Linked DNA regions of Daphnia pulex. The protein of the gene in region 1 purifies or fractionates together with the protein of each later gene. This does not show direct contact. Links are inferred from orthologs where the notes say so. Each region holds a gene or a part of one and is shown in the gene's direction. Other genes may lie near its edges.

The links.
Region 2: the proteins of histone RNA hairpin-binding protein-like (region 1) and regulator of nonsense transcripts 1-like purify together in Homo sapiens (affinity purification with western blotting; 4 studies listed by BioGRID and IntAct, with this or other methods). This does not show direct contact. The link is inferred for Daphnia pulex from reciprocal best matches to the Homo sapiens genes SLBP and UPF1.

The regions. Positions count from the first base shown.
Region 1 is NC_060020.1:3,613,286-3,618,466, forward strand, and holds histone RNA hairpin-binding protein-like, read left to right. Parts: upstream 1-2,403; 5' UTR 2,404-3,240; coding exon 3,241-3,356; intron 3,357-3,430; coding exon 3,431-3,766; intron 3,767-3,834; coding exon 3,835-4,063; 3' UTR 4,064-4,298; downstream 4,299-5,181. Other genes in the region: lysine-specific demethylase 6A-like, read right to left, coding at 1,317-1,425, 1,488-1,635, 1,697-1,763, 1,825-1,913; uncharacterized protein LOC124192277, read right to left, coding at 4,313-4,633, 4,704-4,844, 4,915-5,139. UniProt on the Homo sapiens protein: RNA-binding protein involved in the histone pre-mRNA processing.
Region 2 is NC_060017.1:7,852,024-7,856,254, reverse strand, and holds the end of regulator of nonsense transcripts 1-like, read left to right. Parts: coding exon 1-223; intron 224-285; coding exon 286-774; intron 775-837; coding exon 838-1,197; intron 1,198-1,293; coding exon 1,294-1,731; intron 1,732-1,797; coding exon 1,798-1,983; intron 1,984-2,059; coding exon 2,060-2,068; 3' UTR 2,069-2,851; downstream 2,852-4,231. Other genes in the region: parafibromin-like, read right to left, coding at 3,314-3,350, 3,413-3,554, 3,621-3,751, 3,815-3,913, 3,982-4,228. UniProt on the Homo sapiens protein: RNA-dependent helicase required for nonsense-mediated decay (NMD) of aberrant mRNAs containing premature stop codons and modulates the expression level of normal mRNAs.

The DNA.
Region 1 (5,181 bases):
CGTATTCCACGGGTCATAAACAAACAAGGTTTACGCTTGGAATGAGTGAGAGAAAACAACAACCTTCACTTAGAGCCTAGGGGGAGAACTAAACTATAAATCCTGAGTGATGATGATGATGATGGTAAGTTGGGAATAGCTCAACTGACCTTCTATTTTTTCCGTTTTCACGTGGATCGCCAACGTCCCTCAATTCCGTCAAATGAAGGAAAAATAAACAAATAAAACAGCCTCACTCTGCCCAGCGTAGTAAAAAAAACACGCTCACGCAAATAACACATACAGTCACACTACTACGACTGGCGCGGGGCTAGGCCAGCTCGTTCACTCACTCACACATACACACACGCACCCTCCACAAAACCAGCAGAACCGCTCTCCAGCTCCGAACACTCGCTCAGACCAAGCACGACTCAGCCCAAGCCAACGGTATCTTGTAGCCTCATGGCCGATTCCCCCCTCCCATATACAGAGAGAGAGTGGAGGGGGGGGGGAGGTGGGTTCAAAACGCGCTAGAGAGAAAAATAAAGAGGCCTCAACCGTAGAATGGATTAAAAGGAAGGTACGGTGTACCCTGCAGTACACATCCGCCGAGGGAAAAAGAAACGCAGGAGCGAGAACAGCCGCTTTTAAACGACGTCGACGGCGCCTATAGTTTTGGATTGCCTCCCCCTCCTTCTTTTTTCAACCAGCAATTCAAAGAGGTGGTGGTGGAGGGGTGAGAAAGTAGGGTATAGGGTGGTGAGGGAGGGAAGGACGCCGCGGCTGCTGCTGCTGCTTTTTTTTTTTTTATCTTCAAGGGTCGAGGACAAAGAGGTTTTCTACCGAGCAGCCTCAGGCACAATATATTCTACCCCTACAATATCGTGACGGGCTAAAAATGAGCACTGCAGAACCATCTAGCGACGGCCGGAAGTGAGTAGACAACCTTGGTGTTAGGAACTATCACGACTACTCTTGGAACACGGTGCCACTCTCTGCAGGTGAAACATTGACCCACCCGCCAGCGCTGATAGTACCTATTCAAAACAGCCTTGAGGACATACAGATGAGCAAGGGGAGGGAGGAGGAGGCAAAATAAACAACTACAACGAGAGAAGTTTAAATAACTTTCGAGGAGGAGGTGGCTCCTCAATGATAGTCTCTAGATTGTTGATTCTTGTCACGTTCACGAAACCGCCACGCTTTCTGTGAGGCAGAATCGTAACTAATATCGGCGTGACCGCGTGAAACTGTTGAGGAGGGATAGGTACACTGCACCCAAGCACCCGTACAACTGTTTGAATATTTTACTAACTATGATGCTCTATACTCACCAATTGAAAGAATTAAAGTGGAAGTAAACGAGTCCTAGGCCATAAAGATAGTTGGTATCTCTCCAGTGGTCAGCTCTTAGAGAGCGGAATTTCTGGTAGGCTGACATTGCTGCATGGAAATGAAAAGTTGGCATACAGAGAATTACAATGCAGTAATTGAACAAAATAAACCTTTTGGGTAGTCTTCAATGAGAATGTTAAAATGGCCCAATTTGCAGTAGGTTTTTGGATCAATATTGATTCCCTTCTCTGGGCTATCTGATTCATTTTTTAGCTGTTGGTGAGCTTGACTCAGCATCCGTTCCAAATACTGAATTGCCTATAATTCATCATAGTTGAGATTTTTCAATTACAAAGAATATGAACTTAATCTTACAAACCTTCACTACTAAAACTTTCTTTGCAGCATGTTCAGGATTGTTGAGTTGCAGGAAACCATACTGACGGCTGAAACAAAGTAACGGTGTGAAAAAAACAACACAGATTTTTTTAATACAATGCAATATACCTATCAAGTTCTGATAAAATTTGAAGCTCCTGTGGAGTCAAGTTGATATCTACAGTATCTTTATCTTGTTGCGTTTGTGTCATCTTCATTGACAACCTCGAAATCGGGCAAGGGTAATTCAATCCAAATTTTCAAAACGAAACGCCTATCGTTAGCGTCGATCGGTGAGCAAATGAGCTACAACTTGAAGAAAAGTTCTTCGATTTTTATCCACAAAATATTAACTCCTTTCCATCAGATAAAAACTTTTGGCATCAATCTTGATTTAAAACACAAAAATATCATCATAGTTTTTATAAAAAGTTATTATTTTTTTTTGCAATGACAGCCAAAACAGACACAAGCCTAATGCAGGGTTGCCTCTGTATAAAGTGTAAAAGTGTAATTTCTAAAATTGAACATCCTTATTCATTTAGGATTTGTTTGGTGCATTCGTTCAAACTGGATAGTTAATTTTTTAAATGGAAGTACTATTTTTTTATTGGGTATAGGTTATATTTCTTGATAATTTAAGATGCTGTGGCACTTGTGGAGTTGTGGGTGGTTGTGGCCTTGTATGTATGCTGCATGATATGGGAATTTGAGATATTCTAATTTCTAATTTCCGACGGGTTATCGTTTCAAATGCCTTTTTGCTCGTGCGGCTTGATTATAAATCTAATTAAAAGTATAATTATCTTAGATGTACATGTATAATCTTGCCTAACTATAAGGTGTTGAGAAATGAGAAGTGATGGATATGTAGTTATGTATACTTGTTTTTTGTACCCTAGTTCGGGCGAGCTCCCGGCTCCGGGAATAAGTCTCATCCGGCCGTATGATCTTTCGTTGACCTTGCGAATATTAGAAATGCGAAATGCCTATTTTTAAGCAATAGAGACTGCTTTCTTATCGTCTTTAACATCTACCAGGGTTTTAATTTCAGATGTTTTGCAAGGAAACTTAGCAACATTTTGGAAGTCCATGGCCTTATTAACCTGGCCACAGATAAAGACCACGTCGTCTTTATCTATGACCTGGCCTTATGGGAGTTATGGCCATGGATGGACATTTTGTAAAATAAAAATAACACTAGAAATGGATCGGGGATTCGGGGTTATAGATGTATTTAAAATATTTATAAACTTATTCTGGTTATATTAGCACTATGTTAGCACTCTGGCTGGCATGCAGCTGAATGGAGCTGGTTAGCAACGCAGTTTGTAATCCATGTTTAATGTGGTTAGAAGTTGCTTCTAATTCAAATGGCGCGAGAAAACCCACCCCCCGCTTTATTTTCACCCGAGGCCGAGACAACAAAGTCAACAACTACGTGAACTGAATCACTGTTTGCTCTTTTAGAGTGTAAAAAGTAAAAACATTGTATTTTGTTGGGTTTTAATACTTATTTTTCTATAAGAAATTACTGAGCTTACAATGAGTCCAAGAAAAGCTGTTAAAACAGAAAAAAATTCTGATGGTGAAGAAACTGTGTCTGAAAAGACTCATCCTAGCACTCGTATGCTACGAAAACGCGAATGGGATTCTGCCAGGTATAAATGCTTGCTCATTAAATAAATTATCAGTTCCTGAAGAAACTAACCATATTTATTTTTTGTGGCTAAAGCATTATAAGTCCAGAGAGGGGTCCAGCTCAGAGGAAAGAAATCAAACGAGAAAACATGCAATTGAAGCGCTCTCTGACAACTTCTTATGCCCAAACAGAAAAGAAAAATTTGATTAAGACAGAAAAACAGTCATCTTCTGCTTTGGCGGAGTTAAAAACTGCAGTCAAAGATGAGAAAACTGAGGTTGAGGTTGAAGACACAAGTGACAGGAGCTCAACTATTTCCTCCAATGGTGAAGTTGAAGAAGATCCCCTAGTTCTGTCTCGAAGACAGAAACAAATTGATTATGGGAAGAATACCATTGCCTATGACAATTATCTCAAAACTGTACCCAAGTCAGTATTTTAAAGTTACATGTGCAAATCCAAACATTTCATACTAAACTTACAGAAATTTTCCATAGAAATAAAAGAACCAAGGAACACCCCCAAACCCCTAACAAGTACAAAAAGTACAGCCGAAGGGGCTGGGATGGATCCATTAAAGTGTGGAGGAAAATGTTGCATGTCTTTGACACATCTGATGCCAGTAACCCAAAGGAGAAAGAAAATGCAGCTGCTGCAGATAAAGATGTCGAAGACGTCCTTGATTACCTCCCTTTCGACCTAATCGACGACGACGTTGTTTTATAAACATGTTGTCTACACTCTTCATCATCGAATTTTATGTGAAATCTTGCGCCCGTTTATATTGCACTATTAAGAGTGACAAGCAGGTCTTAGTGTTAATTACTTTTGACAACTTCTTTTTTTTTTTTCTTAAGTTCGGCTGCCTAAAGAGCCTCTAATTCTTCGATAATTTTGTTCAACGATCTTCACCGTCTGTACCGTGAAATATGCACCTAATTAAACATGTTCGTCATATGCATTAGCATGTACCATTTATTTGTTACTTGTTTTCAGGTCTAATAGCATTGAGATCATTTTTGAATTGTCTTCCTCCATTCGTTTCTCTAGGCGGCCAAGTCGTTCCTCAATTCTGGCCATCATGCGTTCTTCCATCTCCTTAATTTTCTTGTCTATTATCATCTCGATACTGTCAACATTTTTCCCATCTTGATTGAATCCTTGCATTATTGAGGACAGCAAATGATTAGCGCCAGCAGATTGCCCCGAGAGAGATCGCATTGAAGGGGTAGCTTCCACCGTCACTGCAGAGATCCCATACACCCATACAGTTGTTGCTTCCTTTAGTTTGCAAAACTAAATAAGATGGGGGATATTTAAAATGGATTCAGACAACCTGGCAACCATAGTGTGAAATAGGAACAACCTTCAGAATTATTTCTGACTGCATCTTCTTCAGATCTATTCTGCATTCATACAAAGAAGTGCCTTCTACTTCTTCCAGAAGTTCCCCTCTCACTGTCATCAGATATTCTTCATACTGCCCATGTACTTCTATCATGGGAACCTTGAATTAATTAATTAATCAAAAGAATAATTTGGCAACAGATAAAAAGGAAGATAGATCTGGGCAATACCTCAGATAAAATTTGAAGGGCAGCAAATTTTCTGTTGTTTTTAAGAATAATTTTTAGTGTACAGGGGCCAGAGTCAGGATTCGATTGACTCATATTAAAGCAATTTTCAATACTAGTTTCCTCAGACAATTCAGACAATTGTTCCTTCCACAAAATTTTTGTTCGAACAGCATCAACATTTTCGATCTTCCAAGAGCAATCTATTGTCACTGCTTCGGGATTCATTTCGGCCTGACGTAGGTGTGGTCTGTGTGGAATTCTATGAAA
Region 2 (4,231 bases), on another chromosome or scaffold:
GGAAGTCGGTGAGCTTTCACAGGGAGATGAAAAGCGATACCGCATGTTAAAGCGACAAGCAGAACGAGAGCTACTCGAAGCAGCAGATGTATTAGCGTGCACTTGTGTTGGTGCTGGTGATGTTCGCTTGGCTCGCATTAAGTTTGCATCTATCTTGATCGATGAATCAATGCAAGCTACTGAACCTGAATGCATGGTCCCTGTCGTCCTAGGAGCAAGACAGGTAAGAATCCCTTGGTATTATGTGTTTTAGATTTTTATTAATTCAATGTTTTGGGTGTTTAGCTCATTCTGGTTGGAGATCATTGTCAGTTGGGCCCAGTGGTGATGTGTAAACCAGCTGCCAAAGCTGGTCTCTCGCAATCACTGTTTGAAAGACTGGTAGTACTTGGCATCCGGCCCTTCCGTTTGGAAGTACAGTACCGTATGCACCCAAGGTTGTCCGAGTTTCCTTCCAACTTCTTTTACGAGGGATCACTACAGAATGGTGTTTGCGCGGAAGACCGAATCCTTCGCGGGGTAGATTTCCCTTGGCCAATGCCAGATAGGCCCATGTTCTTCTACGTTACATTGGGTCAGGAGGAAATTGCTGGATCGGGTACGTCCTATTTGAACAGAACGGAAGCGTCAAATGTGGAAAAGATTGCTACACGTTTTCTTCGATCCGGAGTCAAACCAGAACAAATTGGCATCATCACACCGTACGAAGGACAAAGAGCTTATCTTGTACAGTACATGCAACATCAAGGATCACTACATGCTAAATTATACCAAGTAAGGGAATTCATATTTCAAAACCTTTTACGAAATCTTTAAATTTGTATTTTGTTTTTGAAGGATATCGAAATAGCTAGTGTAGATGCTTTCCAGGGTCGCGAGAAAGACCTCATCATCATGTCGTGTGTTCGCTCAAACGAGAACCAAGGAATCGGTTTTCTCAACGATCCCCGTCGTTTGAACGTTGCTATGACTCGCGCCCGTTACGGAATCATTATTGTAGGCAATCCTAAAGTGTTGGCCAAGCAGCCTGTATGGAATCACCTGCTTCACTTTTACAAAGAAAATCATGTTCTAACTGAGGGAGCTCTCAACAACCTCAAAGAATCCATGATGCAGTTTCCCAAGCCAAAGAAACCAATTAATAGTTTTAATCCTGGTCAGCATTTCATGTCCACAGCCGTCTACGACGCACGCCAGGTATGTTCGTATTCACAAAAGAATTATTTCAAATTATGTAGTGCTTGTCTGTCAAGGATCTTGTATTCTATTTTAAAATAATCTTATCATTTAAAGGCCATGGTTCCTGGTTCCGTCTATGATCGTTCGGGTGGGGGTCAACCACCAAACAACAATGGTATGAATACTTACATACCTCGAGCCACGGCCAATGTTGGAGATCCGTACAGCCGTTTGCACGATCCAATCGGTTACATTGCTCCAGAGAGGGCACAGGCCGCTCTTTCTGCTATGCCCGTTCCCTTGGGTGTCTTTATGAACATGACGCACGTCCCGCCTAGATTCCACGGCCAGCAGCAACAAGGGATGCATGGTTCATCCAAATCCAATCAGAGGCCAAAAGACAATGCCCGAGGAAGTGGGCCTCGCGCTGGCAAAGCCGCAAGCAAGGGAAGTTCTTCGCTGTTTACACAGTCACTTTCGCAGAATACACAGGATGTATCAACGCAGCCTTTCAGCCAGGGTGGCATGGCTCTCACCCAAGGAATGTCACAGGTACTAAATAATGCCAAGTTGAAAGGGTCGCGAAGGTATGCTTATCCATTTTAAATGTTCTTGTAGGGGATGTCGCAGACGGTCTCGGGCTTCGGAGCACTATCGCAATCGGGTCTATCCCAGTTAGATCCGTCACAAGACGCCTATATGTCATCAGATTATCAGTCGCAAATGGATGGACTGCTCTCTCAAGACTCGACGTATCAAGGGGGCCGTTCAGCCTTCTTCCGCCATGGCTCTCAATTCACGCAGGTAGGTTGATGAAGCGAATTTGTCTTACTCTTTGATTGAGCCTGTTGTTTTCAATCTAATGCCGACCTTTTCTTAGCCATACTGAAAACTGTAAGGCGTTGCAGTAATAAAAAAGACCCTAAGAAAATTGACGATGACGACGCCTGGCGGCAGCCGACCGTATTTGAATTCATCTTGCAGTTAAAGATAAAAGAGAAAAGGGGAAATCCAACGTTCATCAACTGACAGCTCGAAAGACCTATGCCCATCTATCAAATGGCCTTCAACGTCGCACACCATAAGCAGCACTAGCAATCTGCCGTTGAAGCAAGAGAGCGGTGTCCAGACGAACGAGCCGATAACGGAGCTGATGGGCTTCAACAAATTAATGTCGAAAAATACGGGAAACAACTGCTATACCCATACCATCCAACATAGTGGACCCTACCTAAGTCTGTTTCTAGTGGGTTGGAAGCCAACACAAAATCCCTTCGACAAACGACGTTTTTTTTTCGATAGAACGTCACCCAAAATTAGAATGCTTCTTTTGTAGGCCCCTCAGTTGATAACGCGTTCGAAGCTTAGTGAACTGATTTTTTTGAATTGTTTATTTCTCTTGACTTGTTTTCTCTCCAGTCGACCAATGCTTTCTCTGTTTCCTTTCACGCTCTTCAGCTTTCTTCACCTTATGCTTTTACATGCAAGTTTAGTTGTCCATTCATTTCGCGAGGATTAGTGTTGGGTTACTGGATGTTCTCACTTTGCTGTTGCCGAGCCCTTTAATAGCGCTCTTTTGTAGGAAGCAATTTCACATCGTGCGTTTTCTTTCCATCTTGACGGAGAAAATCAGATGGAAAGAAGATCAGAATACACTTTGTTTCACGGGAAATCATCGAGTGCGTTCTTTCTTTTAAATATTCAAGCTAACTCTGTTGTGCATAAAAAAATGACTGATATTTTTGTTTGGCAATCAACTACATAGTTATGAAACATTGTCTTCGTCTTCTCAGTGTTGCCAATGAAATTCTGATGATCCTGTAAGCAATTTCCAACTCAGCTGAAGGCTGGTGAGATCCACTTTACCACTAGGAATATATTCTTTAAAAGTGTCCTCGGCGTCTGCCATTTAGTTCCAGCCTATCACCAAAAACAACAATCCTTAAAAAATTTTAACACCAATTGGATAAGAAAGAGCCTTAAAATTGGATTAGTATTTTGATTGGATGTGAACAGGTCCGTGTATCACAAAATCAAAATTAAAGACATTACAGAAGGTGCCAACAAATTTTCGAAAGATAACGCGTATTAGTAAGAAAGATTTTGATACCCCATAACTCGTTGAAAGTGATGCTCAAAATCGAAGATGTTGTTTGTTTTTTAACATGTGCCTGGATAAAATAGAAAATATTTATGCAAGGAGAATAAAAGACTAAGAACATGGAATGCTTACCTGTCGAGTTTCTCCCAGAACGTCATTAGGGCAGCGCGATCAAGATGTCGTTTAGTTCGGGACAAAGAAATCACATTTACAGCCCATTTTGCTACATTCTGATCCAAAGGTATGTCGTCCCATTTAATATGAAAGGCGGAGACTGTTGTTTCAACGAAAAGAGTTTAAATCTCGAATTGAAATCATGGCGTATTTTAGCACAACAAACCTTGAACGAAGATTTCTACAGGGTTTCCAGTCCATGGCCAACCTTTAAATTGCCAAGCAGGGCCCATAACAAAGACGGCTACGACTCGATCCCAATCCGCGGGGGCTAGCTTCTGGGGACTGTCTATCACTCTACAAGAAAATAGTTCCATATTTAATCAACACATTGAGACTTTTAGTTAATAGAGAGCACACCGATAGGGCACCGTTAGATTTCCTTCTTTGCGTCTTTGTAAAAGGATCTCGTTGTCTCTTCGACAACCCTGCTGCCTTTTTTCTTCTGTGCTAAGAAACCTTTTCAAGAGAAAATTCATTTTTAAATCGACCAGAAAGTCAAACCTTTGAACTAATTTTAGCCTTACTTAAGATCTTGCAACACGTCCTTTGCGTTGAACATGGTGATTAGAGAGGAGTTGGCGGATGGAATAATAATGATTGGCGTTCGAGATACTCGCTTGGTCGGACCGGTTGAGGGACGTGGTTGAGCAACAGCTGTAGGGGCAACAGCAGTCGGTGCCGCAGCCTTGCGAGGTTGAGTACCTTCTGTCACCGACTTTAGCGTCATGCCGTGATACGTACCAGTGGTATCAATTTTGAAACCCTCCGTTTCTA